3 linked regions of the Canis lupus familiaris genome follow. The protein of the gene in region 1 purifies or fractionates together with the protein of each later gene. This does not show direct contact. Links are inferred from orthologs where the notes say so. Each region holds a gene or a part of one and is shown in the gene's direction. Other genes may lie near its edges.

The links.
Region 2: the proteins of EIF3G (region 1) and EIF4G1 purify together in Homo sapiens (affinity purification with mass spectrometry; 3 studies listed by BioGRID, with this or other methods). This does not show direct contact. The link is inferred for Canis lupus familiaris from reciprocal best matches to the Homo sapiens genes EIF3G and EIF4G1.
Region 3: the proteins of EIF3G (region 1) and EIF5 purify together in Homo sapiens (affinity purification with western blotting; 3 studies listed by BioGRID and IntAct, with this or other methods). This does not show direct contact. The link is inferred for Canis lupus familiaris from reciprocal best matches to the Homo sapiens genes EIF3G and EIF5.

Annotation. Positions count from the first base shown.
Region 1 is NC_049241.1:51,335,490-51,345,071, forward strand, and holds EIF3G (eukaryotic translation initiation factor 3 subunit G), read left to right. Parts: upstream 1-3,550; 5' UTR 3,551-3,645; coding exon 3,646-3,665; intron 3,666-3,779; coding exon 3,780-3,826; intron 3,827-4,276; coding exon 4,277-4,360; intron 4,361-4,464; coding exon 4,465-4,553; intron 4,554-4,682; coding exon 4,683-4,742; intron 4,743-6,056; coding exon 6,057-6,161; intron 6,162-6,247; coding exon 6,248-6,437; intron 6,438-7,192; coding exon 7,193-7,300; intron 7,301-7,398; coding exon 7,399-7,535; intron 7,536-7,621; coding exon 7,622-7,728; intron 7,729-8,011; coding exon 8,012-8,027; 3' UTR 8,028-8,142; downstream 8,143-9,582. Other genes in the region: P2RY11 (P2Y purinoceptor 11), read right to left, coding at 8,433-9,526. UniProt on the Homo sapiens protein: RNA-binding component of the eukaryotic translation initiation factor 3 (eIF-3) complex, which is required for several steps in the initiation of protein synthesis.
Region 2 is NC_049255.1:17,369,089-17,378,172, forward strand, and holds part of EIF4G1 (eukaryotic translation initiation factor 4 gamma 1), read left to right. Parts: coding exon 1-109; intron 110-927; coding exon 928-1,020; intron 1,021-1,227; coding exon 1,228-1,294; intron 1,295-1,568; coding exon 1,569-2,399; intron 2,400-2,469; exon of another isoform or gene 2,470-2,540; intron 2,541-2,695; coding exon 2,696-2,784; intron 2,785-2,892; coding exon 2,893-3,079; intron 3,080-3,171; coding exon 3,172-3,305; intron 3,306-3,427; coding exon 3,428-3,586; intron 3,587-3,750; coding exon 3,751-3,939; intron 3,940-4,125; coding exon 4,126-4,323; intron 4,324-4,540; coding exon 4,541-4,687; intron 4,688-4,912; coding exon 4,913-5,149; intron 5,150-5,352; coding exon 5,353-5,457; intron 5,458-5,568; coding exon 5,569-5,728; intron 5,729-5,776; exon of another isoform or gene 5,777-5,852; intron 5,853-5,926; coding exon 5,927-6,027; intron 6,028-6,628; coding exon 6,629-6,731; intron 6,732-6,978; coding exon 6,979-7,081; intron 7,082-7,313; coding exon 7,314-7,573; intron 7,574-7,682; and 8 more.
Region 3 is NC_049229.1:71,503,389-71,513,187, forward strand, and holds the start of EIF5 (eukaryotic translation initiation factor 5), read left to right. Parts: upstream 1-3,321; 5' UTR 3,322-3,470; intron 3,471-3,604; 5' UTR 3,605-3,815; intron 3,816-4,171; exon of another isoform or gene 4,172-4,195; intron 4,196-4,704; 5' UTR 4,705-4,912; coding exon 4,913-4,984; intron 4,985-5,098; coding exon 5,099-5,180; intron 5,181-5,670; coding exon 5,671-5,843; intron 5,844-6,133; coding exon 6,134-6,245; intron 6,246-6,557; exon of another isoform or gene 6,558-6,681; intron 6,682-7,055; coding exon 7,056-7,198; intron 7,199-8,236; coding exon 8,237-8,395; intron 8,396-8,698; coding exon 8,699-8,860; intron 8,861-9,337; coding exon 9,338-9,502; intron 9,503-9,799.

The DNA of each region.
Region 1 (9,582 bases):
CCCTGGGCTCGATCCCAGGACCGTGAGTTCATGATCAGAGTCAAAGGCAGACACTTAACCGACTGAGCCACCCAGGAGCACCGAGTTTGATATTTCTTTTCAGAAAATAGTTTGCATATATCTACATATATGTGTTATTAAATATTTATACGAATTGGTCCCTATAACCTATGCCTTTTTACATCTTGCTTCCTCCTAGTATCTTGAAGATATATGTATATATTTTAAACATAACCACAAATGGATCTACTTCCTTAATTACATAGATTGTGGCTTAGTGTACCATAATCTATTTAACCTATTGCTTTCATGAACAATACTGTACATTTATTCTTGCATCTTCACATTTATAAGTTTTTCTCACAGGTGGAATTACTAGCTTGCTCAAAGGAAAACAGGTATGAGTGAATCAGATGAAGAGGTACAAACTTCCAGTTATAACCACATCTTGGTGGTGAAAACTACAACATAGGGAATAATCAATGATATTGTAATAACTTTGTATGGTGGCAGGTGGTGACTGCACTTTTTTTTAATAAAGATTTTATTTATCTATTCATGAGAGACAGAGAGAGAGAGAGGCAGAGACAGAGGCAGAGACAGAGGCAGAGGGAGAAGCAGACTCCCCTCAGGGAGCCTGATGCGGGACTCGATCCCAGGGCCCCTGGATCACGACCTGAGCCAAAGGTAGACGCTCAACCACTGAGCCCCCCAGGTGCCCCATGACGATATTTCTTGTGGTGAACACTGCATTGTTGGATCACTATGTTGTACACCTGAAACTGATAAATGTCTATGCCACCATAAAACAAAATTCATATGTTCATTTTAACTTTTAGAGTATGTCAAATTTCCATCCGAAAAGTTCACAAAATTTCATGCATTAATATATGTGCAAGTGTTTCTTTCTCTACATCTTCACCAGCACTGGATAATATCAAAATTTTTTTGTTTTTTGTTTTTAATTTATGATATGATAGTCATATCAATTTATTTTATGATAGTCACACAGAGAGAGAGAGAGAGAGAGGCAGAGACACAGGCAGAGGGAGAAGCAGGCTCCCTGCGGAGAGGCTGATGTGGGACTCTGATCCCGGGGCCTCCAGGATCACGCCCTGATGCCGGGTCTCCAGGATCACACCCTGGGCCTGCCCTGGGCCAAAGGCAGGCGCCAAACCGCTGAGCCACCCAGGGATCCTCAGATTCTCAACCTTTTTACATTATTGCCCCTCTAAAGGAGAAAAGTGGAATTATTTTTAATTTTAAAAAGCTTTTAAAGATTTTATTTATCTATGAGAGAGAGAGAGAGAGAGAGAGAAGGAGCAGGGGAGGGGCAGAGGGAGAGGCGACTCTGCTGAGCAGGGAGCCCGACGCGGGGTTCAGTCCCAGAACCCTGAAATCATGACCTGACCTGAAGGCAGAAGCTCAATCGACTGAGCCACCCAGGTGCCCCTCTTTAAATTTAATTTCAGGGCAGCCCCAGTGGCTTAGCGGTTTAGCGCTGCCTGCAGCCTGGGGTGTGATCCTGGAGATCTGGGATCGAGTCCGCGTCGGGCTCCCTGCAAGGAGCCTGCTTCTCCCTCTGCCTGTATCTCTGTCTCTCTCTCTCTCATTCTCTGTGTCTCAAATAAATAAATAAATAAATAAATAAATAAATAAATCTTTAAAAAAATACATCTAATTTCAATCCAGTTACATTTAATTTCTCCCTAATGATAGAAAGTAAATACTTAGGCATAAGATTTTGTCTAGGAGAGTTGCTTTTGGAGAGCCACCAGCCATTGTAATAATATTCAAGGTGTTTTGCTACCCAAGAATTCATTTTAGCCCCCTTGGGAGCCACGAGGCTCCCACTGAGAATAATACCCTACAGGGACGGCTGGACAATAAACAAGTGAGTGGGAAGGATTATATCAGAGAGCCAAGAATGTTGCAAAAGAAAGGAGGAAGAGGGGCAGAGGGGCCCTCTGACATCTTGATCATTTGAATCAGGAAAACTCTTCCCAGACCGGGAAGTCCAGCCTGGATTCTTCACCACCTGCCACCATACAATTTCTTCAGAAAATTATAATTTCCCCCTCACAGTGCCTGGCCTACAATAAGCTCTCGAGAAGTGAGCTTTAGTGTTATTAGTACCTTTAAATTTTTTTTTCTAAAAACTGGATCATTTATGTGTCTGTTCCTTTTCTTTCTTTTTCTTTTTTCTTTTTAACTGGGGTTCCATTCATTTAGTCCTATTGTTCATGGACTGCTACTTTGTATATAAAACATGTAGAGATCATTTAAGGTTTTGGGCTCCAGAGAGGAATTACTTCTGCTCTCTGGCATAAAATTAGAATAGGAGAAGGTCATCTTTTTTTTTTTTTTTAAGATTTTATTTATTCATGAGAGACACAGAGACACAGGCAGAGGGAGAAGCAGGCTCCATGCAGGGAGCCTGATGCGGGACTCATCCCGGGGCCCCAGGATCACGCCCTGGGCCGAAGGCAGGCGCCAAACCGCTGAGCCACCCAGGGATCCCGAGAAGGTCCTCTTAATTCTTGAATCTGGACTAGCTAGTCCCCTTCCCAAATCTTATTTTTGATATTTGTATTATTTTTCACTTTGCCCATTTTCATAACATTTACATTCTGTTCTGTGCTCATGACCTCCTAATTGTTTAGCGTTCATTCTAGTTATAAATGGATTCATTGTTCAGCACTATTCACTATACTCACATTTTTCTATTTCTGGTTTATGTATTATTATTCATCTATGAGTTAATTAGACTTCATCATTAAGCACTGTCCTTATTCTTTTAATAGGGTCCTTCCATACATTCTCTCATATTTGAAAATGTGCACAAGTCACCTTTATATTCAACTGATATCTTGGTCTTGATACTTCTGAGTCATAGTCCGCTCGCAGTTTTGTGCACGTTGCTCCATTGCCAACTGGCATGGAATGCTGGTGTGGCAAAATCTTAGCTCAAACTGATTTTTCTCCTTTGTTGGTGATTTTTTTAAAATTTTTTATTTATTTATGATAGTCACACACACACACACACACACACACACACACACACACACACACACACACAGGCAGAGGGAGAAGCAGGCTCCATGCACCAGGAGCCCGACGTGGGACTCGATCCCGGGTCTCCGGGATCACGCCCCGGGCCAAAGGCAGGCGCCAAACCGCTGCGCCACCCAGGGATCCCTGTTGGTGATTTTTTTTTTTTTTTTTTTTTTTTTTTTTTTTATGATAGTCACAGAGAGAGAGAGAGAGAGGCCGAGACACAGGCCGAGGGAGAAGCAGGCTCCATGCACCGACCGGGAACCCGATGTGGGGTTCGATCCCGGGTCTCCGGGATCACGCCCCGGGTCAAAGGCAGGCGCCAAACCGCTGCGCCACCCAGGGATCCCTGTTGGTGATTTTTTAAAAATAAATTTATTTTTTATCGGTGTTCAACTTGCCAACATATAAAAGGTGAAATGAATGGAATGAACGAAGGGAGGTGCCACGGCCGGCGCCTCCGCCTCCGGCCGCAGGGGGCGCTGTGGGCGCTGCTGCCGGGCTGCTCTGGGCCGCGGCGCAGGAAGTCTCGTCCTCCCCCCACTTCCGGTCTCTGGCCCGGGACTTGTGCTGCGTGGAGGAGGTTTTGAAATGCCGACCGGAGATTTTGAGTGAGTCGAGGGTCGCGGAGCGAAGCCTGGGAGGCGGCTTGGGGGCCGTGGGGGCGCTCCTCGGGGCCTGGCCTCGCTGACCCAGCCTTCCCCTCCGCCACCTTGCCCTTGCAGTTCGAAGCCCAGCTGGGCCGACCAGGTGGAGGAGGAGGGCGAGGACGGTGAGTACGCCGGGTCGCCCCGGGTCACGGGCGCCTGCGCCGAGCCGGGCACCGCCGTCCGGTGCCGCATCTCCCCCCGCGCCTCCCGCCTCCCGCCAGCCTGTCGCCACTTCCAAGTGTCCGGCTGGCCGGTCCCCCCGCTCCCTTGCCACCGCCCAAGCCTCACAGCTGCTCCGGGGAGGAAGCTGTAACAGCCAGCCTCCTGCTTGGGTGCGAGCGCCGGATGTCTTTATGGGCTGCCCCTCGCTTTCATCCTTGCCATTGCGCGAGATTACTCAGCCAGCGCCACGGCCTGGCACGGCTAGCCCAGGGCACTTGGTCCCCAGGCCTAAGCCCTTGGCCCTGCCGTCTAGGCCCCTGGTGTGGGCGTCATCCCAGAAGTCCCTTCATTTTAGCTTGGGAGCCCTCGCCCCTCCAGCTCACCCCTCCTACCCACACTCCCCTTCCTAGACAAATGTGTCACCAGCGAGCTCCTCAAGGGGATCCCTCTGGCCACTGGCGACACCAGCCCAGAACCTGAGTTAGTGCCGGGAGGTGAGTGACGCCCTCAGCTCCACTCGGGGCTCCCTCTCCCCAGCAGCATTCCCCTCCCCCTCCATCACCCAAGGCTCAGTTACTTCCCCTCTTCTCTCTCCCAGCTCCACTGCCGCCTCCCAAGGAGGTCATCAATGGGAACATCAAGACAGTGACAGAGTACAAGATAGATGAGGATGGCAAGAAGTTCAAGGTGAGGCTGGGGGAGGAGTTGGGGGCCCCTTGGCCCGGAGGGGATGGTGTGTGTGTTGGGTAGGTTGGGTTGATTAGCTCCAGAGCCTTGAAACACAGGAATTCGGAGCCTCTCCCCTCCCCTCCACAGATCGTCCGCACCTTCAGAATTGAGACGCGGAAGGCCTCCAAGGCTGTTGCAAGGAGGAAGGTGAGACGCTTCTCCTCTTGTCTTAGAGGCTCTCCCAGGGCTGGCTTGGAGGAATTAGGAATCCTTTTTGTTGACAGCGTTTTGATCTGATACCTTTATTTTTAGAAGTGGGGTTCAACTCTGTCTCTATTCTGTTGGATCAAGGGGGTTTAAGGTTGAGGGGTGTTTGTGCTCTGTTGGGACCCTGAAAAGTCCAGGGTGCAGAAGTTGGGTGGTTTAGATTAACTCCGCTCAGCTTGTTTACTTGTTTACCAGAAGGAACAGAGCCAAGCCCTCCCCTCAGGCGGTCATAGCAGCTCCTGTTTAACTGGGCTACATGCTTAGGAAGAAGTGATAGCTGTAAATAGCATTGGCACAATTTTCGGTGGACTTCCTCTGTGCCAGACCTCAATGGCAAGTGTTTTGCAGGAAGTGTTTTCTCATTTGCTACCCCTAGCCGTCCTGGGAGGTGGGGAACATTTGAGGTCTCCATTTTAAAGGGGAGGAAGCTGGGATCCCTGGGTGGCTCAGCGATTTATCGCCTGCCTTCCACCCAGGGTGTGATCCTGGAGTCCTGGGATCGAGTTCCACGTCGGGCTCCCTGCACGGAGCCTGCTTCTCCCTCTGCCTGTGTCTCTGCGTCTCTCTCTCTCTGTCTCACTCTCTCATGAATAAATAGATAAAAATCTTAAAAAGGTGGGGAAGAAAGCTGAAGCCTAGGTTTTTTTTTTTTTTAAAGATTTTATTTATTCATGAAAGACACAGAGAGAGACTGAGGCAGAGATATAGGCAGAGGGAGAAGCAGGCTCCGTGCAGGAAGCCCAATGTGGGACTCCATCCCAGGTCTCCAGGATCACGCCCTGGGCTGAAGGCGGTGCTAAACCGCTGAGCCACCCGGGCTGCCCAAGCCTAGGTTTTTTTTTTTTTTTTTTTTTTTTAAGCCTAGGTTTTTTAACTATCTCAAGGCCCCTCACAGTCTGGGTGACCCCTGGGCGTCACTTCCTTATGGGAGCTGGCCCACCTCCTGTCATGGGTGCCTCAGGAATGGTTAACTGTGTGACTGTTTCCCCCTGGGCCTTGGTTCTCTCCTCTGGAACTTGGGCTGAGAGCCGTCCCCACCTCCTGGAGCTGGCCTGAAGCTAGCGGCTAGCACATGCCAGGAGTGGTACACGCTAGGAAATGGGAACTGTCGTTGTCACCACTTTTGGGAGACTTGGGGGAGGGAGAAGAATGTGGTTCAAGGCTGAAACACCCTGAAGGGAGGGCTTTTGTAGGTCGAGTGGTGGTGGGGGTCCCACTTGCCCTTACAAGTCCCCCATCCCGCCCCGAGCCCAGAACTGGAAGAAGTTTGGGAACTCGGAGTTTGACCCACCAGGGCCCAACGTGGCCACCACCACAGTCAGTGACGACGTGTCCATGACATTCATCACTAGCAAAGAGGTGAGTTGGGCAAGGGTCTGGGCCGGTGGCTGTGATGGTGGTGGCCAGGGTGTGGCAACCCTGCTCTGACTGCCACCCCCCCCCAGGATCTGAACTGCCAGGAAGAGGAGGACCCGATGAACAAGCTCAAGGGCCAGAAAATCGTGTCCTGCCGCATCTGCAAGGGCGACCACTGGACTACCCGCTGCCCCTACAAGGACACGCTGGGGCCCATGCAGAAGGAGCTGGCTGAGCAGCTGGGCCTGTCCACCGGCGAGAAGGAGAAGCTGCCCGGAGGTGCCTGGGCCTGGGATTTGGCTTGGCGGACCACGGGGTGGGGCGGGTTGCGTGCACCTCTGGGAGTGTCCTCGGTCTCCACCCGCTGCTGTGAACGGGGCTGTCCGCATCAGAAGTTGTCCTCTCTCACTGGCACCAGCGCTGCCAGGCTGTGGTCTGTGTGAGTGTGCGAGACCAGCGGGGTGGTGCCAAGACTGCTGGTAACACCACCGTTGTTCCGTGTTGGGCTGGCGAACCGTTCCTTTATGGGTCTGGCTGCGTGTGCTTGAGACTTGGAGCTGTGATTCTGCTGCAGACTCTGTGATCAGACTGGAGTGTGCCTTGTTTGCCACAGAGGGGACCATGGCCTGTGTGCGTGGGTGTGTGCACGCACACGCGCAGACTCGCACATGTGACTGCAGCCTGTGTCCATGTCCTTCAGTGTGATTTGCTGATAGTGGGTTGACTCTGCAAGTTTTACAGCTGTGATTCGGTGTGCAGCACATTTGTTAGCTGCCATGAGTGTGGGGCCCGGGGGCTGCCCCTGCATGTTCCTGTGTTCTTCTAGCTCTCAGCCCTGGGGCTGCCAGTGGGATCTTGCTCTGACTTGCCAGATGTGACCTTCATGTCCTGGCGGCCAGTGGAACAAACCAGATACCTGTGGCTTGATAGACGGTGCCTGGGCTGGGTCAGGGCCAGAGCTGCCAGCGCCCTGGGGTGGATCTGTCCCTCACCTGTGCCAGGGTGAGGCCTGACCCAGCTGCTTTGGTCTGCAGAGCTGGAGCCCGTGCAGGCTGCCCAGAACAAGACGGGGAAGTATGTGCCACCGAGCCTGCGGGATGGGGCCAGCCGCCGTGGCGAGTCCATGCAGCCCAACCGCAGAGGTGAGTGGCGGGTGGGCACCTCTTAGTCCCATGGTCATCCTTCATTCAGGGCCTGGTTAGGGCTGTCCTCTACAAGCTGTCGCTCCTTGCCTGTGTAGCCGACGACAATGCCACTATCCGTGTCACCAACCTGTCAGAGGACACTCGTGAGACTGACTTACAGGAACTCTTCCGACCCTTTGGCTCCATCTCTCGCATCTACTTGGCAAAGGACAAGACCACTGGCCAGTCCAAGGTGGGCGGTGGCTGTGGGGATGGGTGATGGGGTCACCTGTCCTAGTTGTGCCCTAAGGGCCTCTGACTCTACCCCCACTCCTCCAGGGTTTTGCCTTCATCAGCTTCCACCGCCGTGAGGATGCCGCACGAGCCATTGCTGGGGTGTCTGGCTTTGGATACGACCACCTCATCCTCAACGTTGAGTGGGCCAAGTAAGACCTGTCACACCCCTGCCTCTCCCCACCTCTTCGCATCCCACACTCAGGTTGACTGTGGGCCCCACGTTAGTTTAATAGTCCCCAAGCCTCTTCTGAGGTACAGGTTATTTAAGGTCTTTTTTTTGAGGGGGGGCCTTCTACCCATCTGGCCATGTGTGGGCTCTGCCCTCCTGCATTGTCAGAGACCCCAGTTGTATGTGGCAAAGGGTCTTGGAATGCCCTTTGGGTTCTGGAGCCCTCACACTTGGTATCCTCATCACCTGTCTCTCTCTCTTAGGCCATCAACCAACTAAGCCAGTTGCCATGTTTGCTGCTGCTGTCTGGCCCCGGCCCCAGGACCCCATGGCCTTAGGAGGTAGCTCCCGAAAGCAGGGGGCTCTTGGCAATAAAAAGGCTCCTGTTGTCATATGTTGTCTCGTTTATTCACAGATGTCACCCACTCTTTGGCTAGAGGGGCCAGCCCTCTTTAGGATCAGTGCTGTAGGCAGAAGTTCCTGCCACTGTGGCCTGGCACTTGCTGGTCCCCGAACAGGTCTTTGTGTAGGGGAAGAAGTGGTGGTTTGGGGCCTTTGGCAGTTCAGGGCTTGTTAGTGGCTCAGGGCCAGGAGCCTCTTGTGCTCTTGGCCCCCATTCTGCTGCTGGTCTCAATGCCTTGTGGTGAGGAAGTGGCTCAAAATAAGCCAGGTCATGGGCTTAGCTCAGGGGACTAGGGCTCCACGTTTTGGGGGGGTTGCTGTAACATTGAGGGGCAGGACTTGGCCAGAGTTCCCCGTGTCCTCTGGCATTTGGCTATTGCTGCAGCTGCAGCAGCTCTGGTGGCAGCACCCCAGGCTGGGTGCCACAGCCATATAAAGCAGTGGGTGGATGCAGATGGCCAGAGGCATGAGGCCCCGCATTATCTGGTGGGTCCTATAGGTCATTTGATCCACTGCTGCCTTGGCCTCATTCAAGCTGGCAAAGCCTGGGCAGCGGGCCCTCCATCGCTGCCGAGCTTGCACGTTGAGCACCTGTGTGATGTAGTAGGGCACATAGGAACTGGCATAGAGGGCCAGGCTGCTGGCCACCAGCGCTGCCACACGCAGCTTCTCGGCAGCAGTCATGCCGTGGCTGCGCAGCACGGCCCATCCGAGGGCACTGTAGGCTGTCAGGGTGAGCAGCAGCGGCACGCCGCAGCCCAGGACCGCCAGCACCAAGGTGTAGGCTCTGTAGGCCTCGAGGCGGAGGTCATCTGCCATCCCCAGGCACTTGGTGCAGGCCTCAGGCCTCTCTGTGACACAGCTGCCTTCCCTCTGTGGCCTTTTCAGGTGCGAGAAGCTGAGCGTGGGTGCAGCCAACAGGGCTGCCAGTGCCCAGCCAGCGGCACTGACGGCCCAGGCGTGCTTGGGCCGCCAGCTGCTGCGGGTGAAGAAGGGGTGGACGATGCCCAGGTAGCGGTTTAGGCTGATGCAGGTGACGAAGATGACGCTGCCCAGCAGGTTGCAGGTGAAGAGGAAGCGCTCCAGGCGGCACGCGAACTCCCCGTACTGCCAGTTCTTGGGCGGGTAGAAGTAGGCGGCCAGCGGGAGCAGCGTCAGGGCATAGAGCAGGTCGCTGATGGCCAGCTGGGCTGAGAAGACCACGGCGGGGTGCCACGGGCGCTGCTCCCGCGTCACAAAGCGGTAGAAGGCCAGGCCGTTGCTGGCCACAGCCACCAGGAACTCAACTACCAGCATGGGGCACAGAAAGGCTGCCTGGAAACGGCTGAACTCACGGTCAATTTCTACTGAGAAGTTGGCTGAGCAGGTCAGAGCACCTGTGGGCAGACGGTCCCCAAGTGAGCGCAGTTCCTCCTCACATGGCTCGAGACCT
Region 2 (9,084 bases), on another chromosome or scaffold:
CGCCTACTACCCAGCCCAGGGTGTGCAGCAGTTTCCCACTGGTGTGGCCCCCGCCTCAGTTTTGATGAACCAGCCACCCCAGATTGCTCCCAAGAGGGAGCGGAAGACCGTGAGTAACAGCAAGGGGCTCTGGGACATCTGGGAAAGGGAGAATCAAGGTCAAGCGCATTGTGGGTCAGGGAGCAGAAAGTTGAGGAAGGAGAGCTTCAGCTGGGAGTGGTTAGAGAATGGAGGTTTGTGAAGCGCTCAGATTCTTTGTAAGGTACTAAGACTTCAGTGTAGAAGTAGCTCATGGGAAGACTGAGGAGGCTAGTGCTGCAGGAGTTCCTGAGAGACCCAGGTTCTGGGGGTCCATAAGATCTGTGCTTGGTTTTGGGTTTCTGGTGGCTTGTCTTGGAAATGGTTTGTTTTCTGTGGCCCCACCCCCCACCTCCCAGTCCTGGAAGCTCTTGAGGCCTCCGCCTCTGCTCAATCCTCAAGCCCTGGGCGTGGTGCCCAGAATAGGGTGCCAGGGCTGGGGAAGCCGCTGAGTCACCCTGGCTCCACCCACTGGATCTGGGCCCTGCCCCCAGAGATCAGGCCGACTAGCCACAAGTGAGCTGCTTGGGTGCTAGATGGGGGTCCTGGGCCCCATGGTGTGCAGCCAGTGACTTGGGGACTGCTGGTGGCGCAGGGCTGAGGGAGGGAGGGGCATTGTGATGTACAGGACTGCTCTGTGAGGTCAAGAGTCTCTTAGGGGTGGGGGCCAAGGTAGGGAGTACAAGATTAGCTAGATGGGTTAACAGTAGAACTCATGGGGTTTCTGGCACCCACCCACCTGCTACCCAGTGGGGGGTGGGGGGTTGGCCTAGAGTCTTAGGAGTGGGGCAGGGTGGAGAGGTGGGCTCCTCCTGGTTTTCCACTCATCCCGGAGCTTTCTTTCCCCAGATCCGAATTCGAGATCCAAACCAAGGAGGGAAGGATATCACGGAGGAGATCATGTCTGGGGCCCGCACCGCCTCCACACCCACCCCTCCCCAGGTATTGTCTGATCTTTGAGCGAGGCTCTTGCCTAGGATGGCTGTTCTGACCTGAGTTCCCACGTTCTTTGATCTTCTCTTTCAATGAAAGGATTTATTTCCCTGTTTTCCGTGGATTTTTAGGCAGAGTGAAAGTAGAAATGGCTCTAATAGAGAAGGGTTGTGGGCCTCTTCAGGGCAAACTTTGGTAACCCTTTGTGTCCTGCAGACGGGAGGTGGTCTGGAGCCTCAAGCTAATGGGGAGACACCCCAGGTTGCTGTTGTTGTCCGGCCAGGTAGGTAAGCAGGTGGGGCAGAGCTTTTATGGGGAAAAGGAGTGTGACTATTTCAAATGCTAAGGAGGTAGAGTAACTTGACCTGGGTGCCAGAGAAGAATGACTTGGGTTTTAGGTAGTGGGATTTTGCAAGTGGGCCAGATTTGGGGTGAGAAGGGGAAAGGCCTTAGGTAGGAGAATGTTGCAGGGGTATTAGGCTGGGAATGTCTTGGCTGGCAGGAGGAGGAAAAAAGTAGTGACCTGCCTTTAATGATTTGTCTTTCCTGTGGTGTAGATGACCGGTCCCAGGGAGCAATCATTGGGAGCCGGCCGGGGTTGCCTGGCCCAGAACACAGCCCTTCAGAATCCCAGCCTTCATCACCTTGTCCGACCCCATCACCACCCCCAATCTTGGAACCGGGGTCTGAGCCTAATCTCGCAGTCCTCTCCATTCCTGGGGACACTGTGACAACGGGGATGATCCAAATGTCTGTAGAAGAATCCACCCCCATGCCCCGTGAAACTGGGGAGCCATATTGCCTCTCTCCAGAACCCACTCCCCTCGCTGAACCCATACTGGAAGTAGAAGTGACACTTAGCAAACCGATTCCAGAATCTGAGTTCTCTTCCAGTCCTCTCCAGGTTCCCACTCCCTCTGCATCTCACAAAGAGGAAATTCTTCCTGAACCTAATGGCATGGTCCCATCTGAGGATCTGGAACCAGAGGTGGAGTCGAGCCCAGAGCTTGCTCCTCTCCCTCCCCCAGCTTGTCCTTCCGAATCCCCCACGCCCATTGCTCCAACTGCCCAACCTGAGGAACTGCTCAACGGAGCCCCCTCGCCACCAGCTGTGGACTTAAGCCCAGTCAGTGAGCCAAAGGAGCAGGCCAAGGAGGTTACAGCATCAGTGGCTCCCCCCACCGTCCTCTCTGCCACTCCAGCTATGGCTCCTCCAGCTACTTCCCCAGCTCAGGAGGAGGAAATGGAGGAAGAGGAAGAAGAGGAGGAAGAAGGAGAAGCTGGAGATGCTGAGGCTCAGAAGGGAGGAGAGGAACTTCTCCCCCCAGAGAGCACCCCTGTTGCAGCCCACCTGTCTCAGAATTTAGAGGCAGCAGCTACCACCCAAGGTAAGGTGTGGCTGGATGGTGCAAGTGGGTTGGGCTGAAAGGTGTTTTTTGTTTTTTGTTTTTTCTTTCTTTTCATTGATGATCTCTCAATTGTGTGGCACTGTGTCTGGGTCATAGAAACCCTTTGATGAACCTAAGAGATAAAATTCCAAGATTAAGGGATTTTAATAGTCTGGGGTGGGTATGATGGAAAGATGAAATACTGTGGAGTAGCTGCTGCTTTTTATTTCCCCAGGGAGTAGGGGTACTCCATAAATTATTCCCACTTTTTTTCTTTTTTTTAACCTCCCAAATAGTGGCGGTGTCTGTGCCAAAGAAGAGACGGAAAATTAAGGAGCTCAATAAGAAGGAGGCTGTGGGAGACCTTCTAGATGCCTTCAAGGAGGTAAAGGAGCAGAAAGTAATGGAGGGGAGAGGACAGAGTTTGGGTATGAACACTAGTCATACTGCAACCAAAATGAAATATCCTACGTGTCCTACGTGTGACCTACAGGTGAGCCCAGGAGTACCAGAAGTGGAAAATCAGCCTCCTGTTGGCACCAGTCCTGGCCCGGAGCCTGAGGGCAGCAGTGGACCGCCGAGGCCTGAGGAAGCAGACGAGACCTGGGATTCAAAGGAAGACAAAATTCACAATGCTGAGAACATCCAGCCCGGGGAACAGAAGTATGAGTATAAGTCAGGTATGCTGAAGGAAGGGCTGAGCAGGGTTGGGTATTCTTGCCAGGGCCCCGGGAGACAAAGGTATGATTCGCTCATCTCGTCTTCCTCGTAGATCAGTGGAAGCCTCTAAACCTTGAGGAGAAAAAGCGTTATGACCGTGAGTTCCTGCTTGGCTTTCAGTTCATCTTTGCCAGTATGCAGAAGCCGGAGGGATTGCCCCATATCAGTGATGTGGTGTTGGATAAGGTTGGTAGGCTTGAGGGGGAGGAGTCATTTGGGGCTGGCTGGCTAGGGGAGGAGCCTGAGGTCCTGAAAGAGTAGTCAAGAGCCCTAGTCTGTTTCTCATGCCTTCCCTGTCTTCTTTGCAGGCCAATAAAACACCACTGCGGCCACTGGATCCCACGAAACTTCAAGGCATAAATTGTGGTCCAGACTTCATCCCTTCCTTTGCCAACGTTGGCCGACCAGCCCTTAGCAACCGTGGGCCCCCAAGGGGTGGGCCAGGTGGGGAGCTGCCCCGAGGGCCGGTGAGTGGGACTGGTGAGAGGGGCGGATGGTCAAGGGTAGTTGGGGGATGGCTCCTTTGTCTTTTGGGGAGAAGGAGGATATTTGCCTTAGTGATGTGTGGTGGCGGTGTCACAGATTGTGCTGACTAGCTCTGTGTCTTCACTCGTCCTCACTCCTTGCTTAGCAGGCTGGTCTGGGACCCCGGCGCTCTCAGCAAGGCCCCCGAAAGGAACCCCGCAAGATCATTGCCACAGTGTTAATGACTGAAGATATAAAGTTGAACAAAGCAGAGAAAGCCTGGAAGCCCAGCAGCAAGCGGACAGCCGCTGATAAGGATCGAGGGGAAGAGGATGCTGATGGCAGCAAAACCCAGGTAATGATCAGTGTTGTTTTTGCTCTCCATGTCTTCTCTTCAAAGTCTGTCCTCTGAGCCAATTTTGTCCTCTTCATTTCTGTCTTCCTTATCACCAGTATCTGAGTCCTTACCATTCTCTCATCCCTCCCAGCGACCTCTTCTGAGAACCTCACTGGATTGTGTCTTCTCTGTTCCCTCTACCAGGACCTGTTCCGCAGGGTGCGCTCCATCCTGAATAAGCTGACACCCCAGATGTTCCAGCAGCTGATGAAGCAGGTGACGCAGCTGGCCATTGACACCGAGGAACGCCTCAAAGGGGTCATTGACCTCATCTTCGAGAAGGCCATTTCAGAGCCCAACTTCTCTGTGGCCTATGCCAACATGTGCCGCTGCCTCATGGCGGTTAGTTTCCATTGTTACTAAACATTGTGGTCTAGTTTCCTACTTCTCTTCCTAAGACTCCTTGAGTCCAGCTTCTTGGTTCTCTTCCAGCCTGCGCTGTTAATGGCAGCCAGGCGGTGGCAGAGTGGGAGCTGAGGATCTTCCTGGGTTAGATAGCTAAAGACTTTTGGAGGGCCTACCTGCTCAGGACTAACGTGATACTCTCTTTGACATACAGCTGAAAGTGCCCACTACAGAAAAGCCAACGGTGACTGTGAACTTCCGAAAACTGTTGTTGAATCGATGTCAGAAAGAGTTTGAAAAAGACAAAGATGATGATGAGGTTTTTGAGAAGAAGCAAAAAGAGATGGATGAAGCTGCCACGGTGAGAGAAAACCCACCAACCCCACAGTCCACCCAGATGCTACTTTGCTATAGAATAGGGGGTGGGGAAGTAAATGGAAGTTGGGGGTGATGGTGTTTTGGGGATTTTCTCTGCCTTAAGACAGGAATACTTGCTGCTGGGGTTAGGAATCTAGATAGTGGAGAGAAGGATTTTAGCCCAGTGGCTAGGTACCTTTTTGATGGATTTTTGTCCTATAACTGTCAGGCAGAGGAACGAGGACGCTTGAAGGAAGAGTTGGAAGAGGCTCGAGACATAGCCCGGCGGCGCTCTTTAGGGAATATCAAGTTTATTGGGGAGTTGTTTAAGTTGAAGATGTTAACAGAGGCTATAATGCATGACTGTGTGGTTAAACTACTTAAGAATCATGATGAAGAGTCCCTTGAATGCCTTTGTCGTCTGCTCACTACCATTGGCAAAGATCTGGACTTTGAAAAAGCCAAGGTGAGGGTCTTGGGTTGGGGAATGGGACAGGCTGAAGTGCCAAGTGCCTGGGGCTTGCTGTCCACTGACAGACTCCTTGTTGGGCTGCCGGGTGTGAGTCATCGAGCTACAGTGATGGACCTGAGGGTCTAAAGAGGGGCCGGGCCTACAGTTGAAGGTAAGGTGTCACAAGCTCCTGACCTGATCCTTTTGCTTCTTCCTAGCCCCGAATGGATCAGTATTTCAACCAGATGGAAAAAATCATTAAGGAAAAGAAGACTTCATCCCGAATCCGCTTTATGCTGCAAGACGTGCTGGATCTGCGACGGGTGTGTGTCCTCTCCTTCTCACTGCTGGTCTGCTGCCTGTATGCGTATCCAACATTGCTTGGTCTGGCCCTCTGATATGATTATCTTGTGACTGGCATTCTGTCCCCACAGAGCAATTGGGTGCCACGCCGTGGGGACCAGGGTCCCAAGACCATTGACCAGATCCACAAGGAGGCTGAGATGGAGGAGCACTGGGAGCACGTAAAAGTGCAGCAGCTAATGGCCAAGGGCAGTGACAAGCGTCGGGGTGGCCCTCCAGGCCCACCCATTAGTGAGTTTGGGACTCCGGTTACGAGGGGGCAGAGTGAGGGGTTAAACTTTCCACTGATGACTTCTTGTTAGTGCCACGTGTCTGGGCCACTGAGACCACATGATGGAACTGAGGATCTGAGGAAGGGGGTCTGGGGGTAGCCCCAGGTGATCGGGGGGCTAGGAGTTACTCATTATTGTAATATACTCTTTGTCCCAGGTCGTGGCCTCCCACTTGTGGATGATGGTGGCTGGAACACAGTCCCCATCAGCAAGGGCAGCCGCCCTATCGACACCTCACGACTCACCAAGATCACGAAGGTAGGGGGGCGTATTGGAGGGTGTCACTACCTAGTGGTAGTGGTCATTGGAGGGAAAAGAGGGATCAGTTGGCATTGAACATAGATTTGGATCTTCATCTCCTTACTTCTGAGGTTGAAAAGGTGATGGCTTTCCTCTTGGACTAACTGGTTAGACTCCTAGAGACAGGACTGCCAGCTCAAGAAGATGTATTCACATCTGTCTGGGCCAGCAAACTCGCACAGCAGATCTGTCCCATTCCTTCTCTACATTCCACAGCTAAGAAGCGGCTTTTACAGTTTTAACAGTTGAAAAAAATAAAATGGATGATTTGAGTAATGAAATTACTCAAAATGTAAATTTCAGCATGCATAATTTTATTAGAAAACATGACCAAATTCATTCCCCTTAAGTATTGCGAGTGACTGTTTTTGTGCTACAGTGGCCATGTGGAATGGTTGAAATAGAAACTATATGATATGCAAAGCCTTAAGTATTTACTATTTGGCCTTTTAGAGGAAAAGTTTGCCTGGCTCCTGGTCTATGCCATTTGCTACTGTGTAGCTATGGGCTTTGGCCAGATCAGACTGATGCTCCACTCCACTCCCGTTTCCTTCCACAGCCTGGCTCCATTGATTCTAACAACCAGCTCTTTGCACCTGGAGGGCGATTGAGCTGGGGCAAGGGCAGCAGTGGAGGCTCAGGAGCCAAGCCCTCTGATGCAGGTACTTGAGGCCATCGTAAGGAGCTGGGGGCCTAGGAATCCTCTTATTTGAGGGCAGAGCCTTATTTGTAGGAGAGGCTTTTGTATAAAGTGGTTGGGTAATAACAGGAGGCTTATGCTTGGGACGAGGGGGACTGAATGAACTGTGTTCATGTTGGGAGTAGGACCAAGTGTCCTAAACTGGCGAGTAGGAGATGGAATGGAAGAAAGTAGGAAGAGATTTTGATGTGGGCTTTCTGCCTCCCCAGCATCAGAAGCTGCTCGTCCAGCTACTAGTACCTTGAACCGCTTCTCAGCCCTTCAACAAGCAGTACCTACAGAAAGCACAGACAGCAGACGTGTGGTACAGAGGTGAGGCTTCCCCTGCGAGTGTCTTTGTTTTTCACGTGGGGAGTACTGGGATTGGGCTTTGGTGGTTGCCATAGGAATCCTCACATCTGTAATGCTCATAGTCCATGGCTAGATGGGGGCACATTCCAGATTCCAGGAACTATGCCTGATGATTGCTGAGCTTGTTGGAAAGTTCTACAGGAGAGTGCCTAGGCAGTACAGGTGAGAGGTGACATGCCTGTTTTTTCTCCAGGAGTAGTTTGAGTCGGGAAAGAGGTGAGAAAGCTGGGGACCGGGGAGACCGCCTAGAGCGGAGTGAACGGGGAGGTGACCGTGGGGACCGCCTCGATCGCTCTCGGACACCTGCCACCAAGCGGAGCTTCAGCAAGGAAGTGGAGGAGCGAAGTAGAGAGCGGCCCTCCCAGCCTGAGGGACTGCGCAAGGCAGCTAGCCTCACAGAGGATCGGGACCGTGGGCGGGATGCCGGTAAGGGACCGGGAGAGGAAGGGAAAGGTAAGGTGTGGGTTTGGGACTAGCCAGCCTCCAGTCTTCAGAGCTCCAGGTCTTTCTTGCTAGGAAAATTGGAACTGAAGAGTCTCTGATCTGTTTCTCCCCCCTTCAGTGAAGCGAGAAGCCACCCTGCCCCCAGTGAGTCCCCCGAAAGCTGCGCTTTCTGAGGAAGAGCTGGAGAAGAAATCCAAGGCCATCATTGAGGAATATCTCCATCTCAATGATATGAAGGTAGGCAGTGGGAGGTGTCTCAGTGACAGCAGGGTGGCCAGGGAGGGACATGTGCTGACATGCATGGAGTGTGGGGTTAGGACCAGACAGTGACTGCCCTCTCCCTCCTGCCCACACTCCTGCAGGAGGCAGTGCAGTGTGTACAGGAGCTGGCCTCACCCTCCCTGCTCTTCATCTTTGTGCGACATGGCATTGAGTCAACACTGGAGCGCAGCACCATTGCTCGTGAGCATATGGGGCGGCTGCTGCACCAGCTGCTCTCTGCTGGGCACCTCTCCACTGCTCAGTACTACCAAGGGTATGTCTTCTGAGGGCCTTCTACTTTTACATCCCACAGACTTCCTTTCTTTGTGTAGGATCTGTGGAACCTTGGATGAGAGTATAGCCATCCCGGTTAGCATTACTTTTGGCAGGGGTAGAGTGTACCATGTAAGGACAAAAGTGTGGCCTTGGCTTGAGATAATTGCCCCATGTCTAGGAAGTGTTCTTGAGGGTCTCCACAGTGGATCCTTTAACAATGTCATCTTGCCCCAGAGGGATGGTGGGGGTCCAGCTTACCTTTCCTAGAATGTATGATTTCTTTCTCCTTAAAAGATTTATTTTTATTTGAGAGGGAGGGAGGGCAGGCAGGCAAGTGGAAGGAGGGGTAGAAGGGGAGAGAAACCTCAAGCAGACTCCCCACTGAGCATGGAGCTAGACAGGGCTCAATCCCAGGACCCCAAGATCATGACCTGAGCTGATTACCGAGAATCAGATATTCTGCTGACTGAGCTACCCAGGTGCCCCTAGAATGCCCTGACTTTGAATTCCATTTGCAGGCTGTATGAAATCTTAGAATTGGCTGAAGACATGGAAATTGACATCCCCCACGTGTGGCTCTACCTAGCAGAACTCATAACGCCCATTCTGCAGGAAGGTGGGGTACCTATGGGGGAGCTGTTCAGGTAAGCCCCCTTTGGGGATTCAGGGGAGGTAAAGACAAGAAGAAAGCTGGGGAGGGGGAGTACATATGGCAGGTTCAATGCCTGGATTTGGGGAGGGATGGGGCAGTGTACTGACTGAGTGAGCCATTAACACTCTGTAATTTCCTTTTTTTCTCTATAGGGAGATTACAAAACCTCTGAGACCCCTGGGCAAAGCTGCTTCTCTGTTGCTGGAGATCCTGGGGCTCCTATGCAAAAGTATGGTAAGTAAGAGCCTTTTGGGGGTGATGTGTAGAGACTTCTCTTCCGACCATGCTCTTTTGGCCAGTTGCTGTGACCCTGATGGCTCATGGTCCTTTG
Region 3 (9,799 bases), on another chromosome or scaffold:
GGCCAGTTTACAAACTTACATTTTCAGCAGCTATACATGCCTATTGTCCAAGGCATGTGCTGAAATGCATAACTCAGGCACTCACCTGACAACAGTTTCAGAGGTACCAAGTACCTATTACTTATCAAACTGTGAGCGCCTGATTGGAAGAAGTGCAGCCAAATGAGGTGGAGGCCAGAAGTAGGAGGCGGAATCGTGTGATGATCCTGGCGTCAAGCTAGAGTTCAAACACTACCCACCATTTTATTAGACAGGTGACTGCGAGAAAATTAACCTTCCTGACTCTTTCCTCACCTGTAAAATGGCAATAACAACAAACACTCCCTTACATGATCGTTAAAGGATTAAAATAGATTATACATGTAAATTGCCCAGACTTATGTATGTTTACATTTACTCGTGAACGCTGGGTCATGTAATGGTTAAGGGAACAGACTCTGGGTCAGACAGATCTCAGTTTAAATTCCAGCTCTGCCACTTACTAGTGTGTGATCTTGGGCAAGTTGCTTAATTTTTTCCATTAAGCCTCAATTTGCTCATTTGTAAAACAGGAAGAAAAATTCTTCCTAGGGGCTAGAAAGTGTATTCTAATCACCTAGTAAATTCCTAGGCTATGAGAAGCATTCAAAAAATAGTACGGTTAAGAGTAATTTTTAAAAATTGTCCCTGATTAGGGGGCGGCCCGGGTGGCTCAGTGGTTTACCGGCACCTTCAGCCCAGGGCCTGATCCTGGAGACTCAGGATCAAGTCCCGCGTTGGGCTCCCTGCATGGAGCCTGCTTCTCCCTCTGCCTGTGTCTCTGCCTCTCTCTCTCTGTGTCTCTCATTAATGAATGGATAAAATCTTAAAAAAAAAAAAAAAAATCTGTCCCTGATTAGATACAAATGAGCAGCACACCTGCTAAAAATTAAAGTTAAAATTAGTACAAACTTTTTAAATTTTTTTTTAATTTATTTGTGATAGTCACAGAGAGAGAGAGAGAATGAGGCAGAGACACAGGCAGAGGGAGAAGCAGGCTCCATGCACCAGGAGCCCGACGTGGGATTCGATCCCGGGTCTCCAGGATCGTGCCCTGGGCCAAAGGCAGGCGCCAAACCGCTGCGCCACCCAGGGATCCCAGTACAAACTTTTTAAATGAAGTTAAACATGGGGCCATCAAACATAATCCCCCCAAATAATAATCACTCACCTTGTATTTAGCTTTATTAAAAATCATTCTGACAAGGCAAGCCCGTTGCCTCAGACTAGTTTCATTTCCATATTTTCTGAGTTTCTAAAATGTCATTTGCATGCAAAAACTTCAAAGTTTCAATACTGCTAAATCATGCTTCATGGTGAACCAGAAGCAGCTTGTCTGGGATCTACCTTTTCTGTGGCTCAGATGGGAACCCTGGTGCCCATAAAACATTATGCATTTCGTCTAACGATCGTACACCATTGTACGATCACACACACACACTGTGTGATAACATAAGCTCCTATAGCAAAGACACAAATCACTTTGCCCAATTCCAAATGGCCCTTTTATTTATTTATTTTCAGATGGCCCTTTTATGAACCTCCCCACCCACACTGTCAGTTTTAAAATGGGGTATAGCTGAGTGAAGTAAGTCAATCGGAGAAGGACAAACATTGTATGTTCTCATTCATTTGGGGAATATAATAGTGAAAGGGAATATAAGGGAAGGGAGAATAAATGTGTGGGAAATATCAGAAAGGGAGACAGAACATAAAGACTCCCAACTCTGGGAAACGAACTAGGGGTGGTGGAAGGGGAGGAGGGCAGGGGTTGGGGGTGACTGGGTGACGGGCACTGAGGGGGGCACTTGACGGGATGAGCATTGGGTGTTATTCTGTATGTTGGCAAATTGAACACCAATAAAAAATAAAATTTAAGAAAAATAAAGTAAAATAAAATGGGGTATAAAGCTTGCAAATCATGGAAGAGCATCCTGAAGTTTTTTTTTTTTATTAAAATTTTATTTATTTATTTATGATAGTCACAGAGAGAGAGAGAGAGAGAGAGACACAGGCAGAGGGAGAAGCAGGCTCCATGCACCGGGAGCCCGATGTGGGATTCGATCCCGGGTCTCCAGGATCGCGCCCTGGGCCAAAGGCAGGCACCAAACTGCTGCGCCACCCAGGGATCCCCAGCATCCTGAAGTTTAATAAAAACCAACGCACCCTTCGGTTCCAACTTTCTTGCATATTTAATTGGTCTCAAAGAGGGCAGCCCCTTACCCACCTCACCCTGTCCTCAACAACATTGCTACTTTCTGCAGCCCGGGCACACTTGGCCCTGAGGGCTAGGGGGCTCCTTAGAGACCGCAGGGAGTGGATTAGAACCCCATCCCCATCCTACGGTTCCTGGTTTTACCACAGCCAGCTATGCTGGATTTCAGGGTGGACTCGGTGCGCTTTCACGGTAGCAACTCAAACTCTTAAAAATGAGTTTCTGAAAGAACGGGAGAGCTTCTGCAATCGCTTCAACAGGATGAAAACATCACTAAATGATCAGGCAATGCGACCTCATTAGGAACACCTGCTTTGGGCTGTGCTTCGCCCACAGCAAGGAAGCCGCGGTGGATCCCCCGAGAGGTGGGTGCGGGGAATTGGAACCCAATGAGATGCTTCGTTTGAGCAAAGTTACTGTGGAGGACGAGGACCCGGGGGCCTCTTCCCAGACGCGCTTTCTGGAGGGTCCTGGGGTCCGCCTCTTTAGAAGGCGGGTGCACGGGAGCGCCCAGCCCCGCCAGGCCTGCAGGCGGGGGGCCGGGGAGAGAGCCAGGCCGGCGGGCCCAGGCCCGCAGCACGACCCCGCCCCCCCCCGAGGTGACATCCGGACCCCGGCCTGGGAGCTTAGGAGGCAGCGCTCAGGATGAAAGACCCGGGCCCGCCCACCACCACCGGCCGCCCAGGCCCAGGCCCAGGCCCAGGGAGCGGGGAGGAAGAACAACTTCCTCCTCGAGCCCCGGCTACCGGCATCCCCCAAGGGGCGGAAAGGGCAGGGAAGACGTCCCCCGCCCCGCCCCCGGGCGAGGCTGCGCGCCCGCCGCGAGAGGAACTCGGCGGGAACGAGACCAGGCCGAGGCGGCGGGGGAGGGGAGCCAACCGCCATCTTCCCCTCCGCACCCAAACCGACAAAGCGCGGCCCCGCGGCCAGCTCCCGCCGCGGCCTGCAGCTCTCGCGAGACCGCGAAGGCCTCTGGGACGGGCGGGGGAGGGGAGGGCAAGGGAAGAGATCCGGGACCCGGGGACTGGGGGCGGGCTGAGGCGGCGAACGGAGCCTTAGGAAGCAGGAGGGGCGGAGAAAGACGCAATTGACGCGGCACGTGGACCAATCACGAGCGAGCTCGGGCGCGCCTCAGGCCAATGAGCGGTGCGGCCTGGCGCGGGGGGCGGGCGCTGGGGCTGAGGGTAGCTTGAGCGCGGCGGCGGCGTTGTTCAGTCAGAGCGAGAACATTCCAGAGGTGAGTCCGGTGGAGGGGCGGCGGCCCCGCGCCCCTTCCCCAGTCCTCCCCGCCCCCTCGACCCCCGCGGGCCGCTGGCTGGCGGGGAAGGCGCCCCGACGCCCGCGGCTCACGGCGCCGTCTCTCCGCGCCAGGTCGCCAGGCCCCGGGCGCTGAAGGGTGTGGACCCCGGACGTCGCTGGGACAGCCCCTCCCCGCTGCTCGGCGGCGCCTGGCCCGGCCGCTGCTCGCTGCGCTGCTCCGCCGCCTCCGCCGCCCCTCCTCGGACTCGGGTTCACACGCGCCTCACTTCATCCCAGTCCCGGGCGAGCAGCGTTGGGTTTATGTCTTTATTTGACGAAAACGGTGAGTCCGCGGGCGGGCCGGCGGGGAGATGGCGGCCGCACAAGATGGCGGCGCGCCGCGTGACCCGCGCGCGCGTGTGGCGCAGTTCGGGCGGGCGGGCCCCGCGCCCCCGCCGCCCAGCCCTCCGCCCCGGCCCGGGCCCGCGCCCCCGCCCCTCCGCCCCGACCCCCTCCCCGCCGGGCCCCTGCCCCTCCCCCGCCCCGCGGGAGCGCGCCGCGCGGGCTGACTCAGGCCCCATTGCTGCATTCATGAGTCATCGCCCGCTCGGGGGCGGGGGCGGCCCGAGCCGGCGCCCCTTGGCGCTTTCGCTTCCCGCGGCGCGCATGGCGGGGTCGCTGCCCCGGGCGGAGCGGCCGGTAGCCATGGGCACCGGAGCGAAGGTTGACTGCGCGCAGAGCGGGGACGGGGCGGAGCGGCGGCGGTCCGTGCACACTCCCGCGAGACCGCGAGTCCCGGATTGGGGCAGGGCTCCTTCAGGGGCGCGCTCGGTGTTGAGCCGGGGGGCGGCAGGGCCGGGGGTCGAGGCTGCGAAGTTTGTCCGAAAACCCAGCCTGGGTCTGCCTTCGTCTCCACGGCGGTTGTTAGAACATGGCCGCTCCGTCGAAGCAACCCTGGGACGGGCGGGTGGTGTGGGCTTCGGGGTAAACCCCGGGCAGGCAGCCGAAGCCGGGCTGCTCGTCGTGGGAAGTCTGGCAGCTCCCAGCTGGAGGCCCTTTAGATTGCGACAGGTGTTCTGTGTTCGAGGAGAATGTTAGCTTCTCACGTGAACTGTGATGCTTCCTAATGTGGCAGAACGAGGCGTCCTTAACTGGGAGGCGGAGGGAGGTTTCCTCCTGCGGGAATCACGTTAAACGTTGGGGGTTGTGTGTGCTTTTCCTTTCTCTTTCAGAGCTGTTGCGCAGCCATTGGTACCTGTATTGGGGAAACATAGCATACAAGCAAGAAGCTTACAGCCTCAGTGGCGAAAATTTTTTCATGTCAGAGACCGAGAACTCTTGCAGTCGTTTATGTCATCCCTTCTTCTCCAGACAGAAGATACCAAAAAGTTGCAATCAAAGATCTCTTCATCTTATTGATAAAGCCACTAATAAGCCAAAATGTCTGTCAATGTCAACCGCAGTGTGTCAGACCAGTTCTATCGCTACAAGATGCCCCGTCTGATTGCCAAGGTAATTAATGCTGATCTTCATTTTAGTAATGAAACCTAAGCTCTCTTCCTAGATTGTTAAAGACTGCATCTCCTCAGGTAGATAATGCAAAATTAAAGCTTTTTTTTTCCTTAGGTTGAGGGCAAAGGAAATGGTATCAAGACAGTTATAGTCAACATGGTTGACGTTGCAAAGGCGCTTAATCGGCCTCCAACGTGTAAGTAATGCTTCTTAAGAGGAGTTTGAAAAAGCATATTATGGATATGATCGTGACAAGCTTCAATCTGTGTATCTTGATTGAGTTGGGTTTTTTTTTTTTTTTTTTTTTTTTTTTTTTTTTTTTTAAGATTTTATTTATTCATGAGAGATACAGATAGGGGCAGAGGGAGAAGCAGGCTCCATACAGGGAGCCCTATGTGGGACTCAATCCCGGGTCTCCCGGGTCACATCCTGGGCCGAAGGCGGCACTAAACCGCTGAGCCATCCCTGCTGCCCTCTTGATTGACTTGTATGATAGTTTGTTTCAGGGTTAAGTGGAATTTTGGGCTTGAAAACCCAACTGATGTGTTAGTTGCTATTAGTAAACAAAACTACCCAAGTAAGACATATTTTTAGCTGTGTAGAAGTAGCAAAAGTGTTATTTGTAGGAGGGTGAGTCAGTCAAAAACTTAATTTTCTCCCCCACCCCTTCCACCACCCCGCCATAGATCCCACCAAATATTTTGGTTGTGAGCTGGGAGCACAGACCCAGTTTGATGTTAAGAATGACCGTTACATTGTCAATGGATCTCATGAGGCGAATAAGCTGCAAGACATGTTGGATGGATTCATTAAAAAATTTGTTCTTTGTCCTGAGTGTGAGAATCCTGAAACAGAGCTGGTGAGTCCTTTTTGAGATTTTTGTCAGAAAGAGGAAAACCTACACCTGCTTTTGTGATCAGTCCTTTGATATTACCAAATTTAGTTTAAGAGATCGCAAATTTAGTTGGAAATTAAAGCAGCAAATTTTTTAGAAATTTTCAATGTTGGCTTTTCTAAGTAGATCATTTTGTTAAAAACAATTTTGTATGTTAGGCTGGAATTACATAGTTAAGTATTTCAACACTTTGTTTTTTGCAAAATTTTATTGTAGGGCAAAGATAACACTTGTCTTTACCCCTTTTTTGGCAGCATGTCAATCCAAAGAAGCAAACAATAGGTAATTCTTGTAAAGCCTGTGGCTATCGAGGCATGCTTGACACACATCATAAACTCTGCACGTTCATTCTCAAAAACCCACCTGGTGAGTCTTTATGATCAACTTGTAAGAACTTAACAGTAAAGCAATTGATTGCTGGAAACAAAGCAGAAGTTTCTTTACTGCTATGAAACTAGAAGATAAGGAATTTCCTATTTTTGTGCCTTGATCTGTTGGATCTGTTACCTTGAAAGATGTACTGTTAAAGATAGAACAGGCTGCCAAATTAAGACTGGTCACTTAGGAAGAAATAGATTTGTGTAAAACAAATTGTGCAATTCCAGCAAAGGATCTCCTGTAATACTCTTGTGAACGAGGGTCCTGACTCATTAAGCCTAACTGGCTTTAGAACATTGCAAGCAACACTCTGTGGCAGATGATGGAAGTTGTCTGACACAATTTGAGCTTGCTATAGCAAGAAAGTCTAACCTATTCCAGTGTTCTCCTCAATGAGACCAACTGTTATATAGACTTAAACAACGTTCCAGCTTTTACTTAAAGTGCATTTGAGATGTACTGTTATTTGGGTATATGAGGGATGAGAGGGTCAGGAGTGCCAACCTTCACTATCTGGTCTACTGAGACATCATCACTTCATTTTAATCCTACTGAACAGTGAATGCCTCTACTATTCTGGGACATTTCATTCTTACCCTGAATTTTTTATATAGGAAATGATAGTGGATAAATTTGGTCTGTAAATCCTACTAGAATTACAAGTAGCGTTGTGTATGTATATGGATTTCAAGGGAAGATTCCAAAGCAGAAGGGAGCAAGGTTTTTAAATGTTTATGAGAAATAGTGAGCTGTGATAAAACTATTAAATTTTTTGTTTCTTTTTTTGTTCTCCTGTAGAGAATAGTGACAGTGGTACAGGGAAGAAAGAAAAGGAAAAGAAAAACCGGAAAGGCAAGGACAAGGAAAATGGTTCTGTGTCCAGCAGTGAGACGCCCCCACCCCCACCACCAAATGAGATCAGTCCTCCTCCACATGCTGCGGTGAGTGCAGGGATGAGGGTGGTGGGCACCAAAGTTGAGTTGAGTGGGGGCAGAAATAAGGAAAGTCATCTTCATTTTTTTAAAGATTTTTATTATTTATTCGTGAGAGACAGGCAAAGGGAGAAGCTGGCTCCCCACAGGAAGCCTAATGTGGGATTTGATCCTGGGACTCTGGGATCACACCCTGAGCTGAAGGCAGACGCTCAACTATGGAGCCACCCAGGTGTCCCTATCATCCATTTTATTATTATTTTTTTTTTATTTATTTACTTATTTTTTTTAAAAGATTTTGTTTATTCATAGAGACACAGGCAGAGGGAGAAGCATGCTCCATGCAGAAAGCCTGACGTGGGACTAGATCCCGGGTCTCCAGGATCACACCCCAGGCTGCAGGCGGCGCTAAACCACTGCGCCACCGGGTCTGCCCCCTATCTTCATTTTAATACTGCAATGATACCAGGGATCCCTGGGTGGCTCAGCAGTTAGCACCTGCCTTTGGCCCAGGGCATGATCTTGGAGTCCCGGGATCCAGTCCCACGTCAAGCTCCCTGCATGGAGCATGCTTCTCCTTCCGCCTCTGGCTCTTCCTCCCTCTCTCTCTCTCTCTCTCTCTCTCTCTCCCTCTCCCTCTCCCTCTCCCTCTCCCTCTCCCTCCCTCTCTCTCTCTCTCTCTCATAAATCTTTTAAAAAATTTGCAATGATACCTTGGGTTCCTGGTTCTGTAGGTAAGTCCAATATTTATGGAAAATAAATCCAGTGCCATTAACGTGACTAGAAATCTGGAATGTTTTTTGGGGTTTTTGTTTTTTTTTTTTTAATTTATTTATTTACGATAGTCACACAGAGAGAGAGAGAGAGGCAGAGACACAGGCAGAGAGAGAAGCAGGCTCCATGCACCGGGAGCCCGACGTGGGATTCGATCCCGGGTCTCTAGGATCGCGCCCTGAGCCAAAGGCAGGCGCCAAACCGCTGCGCCACCCAGGGATCCCGTTTTTTTTGCGTTTTTGAGGCATTTGACAACAATGCTGTTCTTGACAGGAAGAAGAGGAGGATGATGATTGGGGGGAGGATACGACTGAGGAAGCTCAAAGACGAAGAATGGATGAAATCAGTGATCATGCAAAAGTTCTAACACTCAGTGATGATTTGGAAAGGACTGTAGAAGAGCGGGTCAATATTCTGTTTGATTTTGTGAAGGTAAGAACTTCAAGAGCAGCTAAACATTTTTTTGTTAATCACCCTCAAGTCTTGAGGTTTTAAGATATTTATTACTTTATATTTGTGATCTGGCACATAATTTTTCCTCATGATGTCTTTTGAATACTCAAACTTATTTACTGAAATTACTTTTTGCAGTGCTTCCAGGTACTATCTTTGGCATGTGCATATTAACTAAAAAATCCTGAAGCTATAATGGGAAAAGTCTGAAAGCGGGGAGGAATGAGCATCTCTAGAGCAAAATGTGTCTCCATTTTGCTGAATTGCTCCCTTTATTTGCAGAAAAAGAAAGAAGAAGGTATTATTGACTCGTCAGACAAAGAAATTGTTGCTGAAGCAGAAAGACTGGATGTAAAAGCTATGGGTCCTCTTGTTTTGACTGAAGTTCTTTTTAATGAGAAGATTAGAGAACAAATTAAGAAATACAGGCGCCATTTCCTACGAGTAAGTGAATTAATTTGTGAGATTTAGAGTTGAATGACCCTGGGAAGATGTCTGTCATCCTAAAGCGAGAGATAATTGACCTACCTTATCAAGCATAGGACTAAGTAGAAAATGCTGTATAATAGTCTCTTAGAGAGTAATGCATAGATTTTATGCATTGACTTTTTGAACTTGAACCACTGTTTAAGCCCGTAGCCTTAAGGAACAATTTTGAGAGATGAGTATACTTAAAACTTCTTTAAAAGTTTGTTAATATCGGGATCCCTGGGTGGTGCAGCGGTTTGGCGCCTGCCTTTGGCCCAGGGCGCGATCCTGGAGACCCGGGATCGAATCCCACATCAGGCTCCCGGTGCATGGAGCCTGCTTCTCCCTCTGCCTGTGTCTCTGCCTCTCTCTCTCTGACTATCATAAATAAATTAATAAATTTTAAAAAAAATAAAAATAAAAGTTTGTTAATATCAACATGTTTGTTTCCAGTTTTGTCACAACAACAAAAAAGCTCAACGGTACCTTCTTCATGGTTTGGAGTGTGTGGTAGCAATGCATCAAGCTCAGCTCATTTCCAAGATTCCCCATATCTTAAAGGAGATGTATGATGCAGATCTGTTGGAAGAAGAAGTCATCATCAGCTGGTCAGAAAAGGTGGGGAATAGATACAGCCTCTTGAAGATCAGTTGTTGGGGCACTTTTGGAAGAAGTAATTCCTGATACTTAAGTTTCTTCTACATTGAAATGCAGTCCTTGGTATAACTCATAGGTGATTCCCACAATGGCAACTTTCTACTAATAATGGAAGGAAGTATTTAGATTCTTGGTTACTTGTTTGCTGAATACATGTATCTGTTGAGTCAAGATTAGGATGTGACCCAGTTCCTTCAAAGAGCTCAGTGTGTAGGTAGTTATATAAATTAATTTTTAGATTTCTCCAACTAAGGAAAT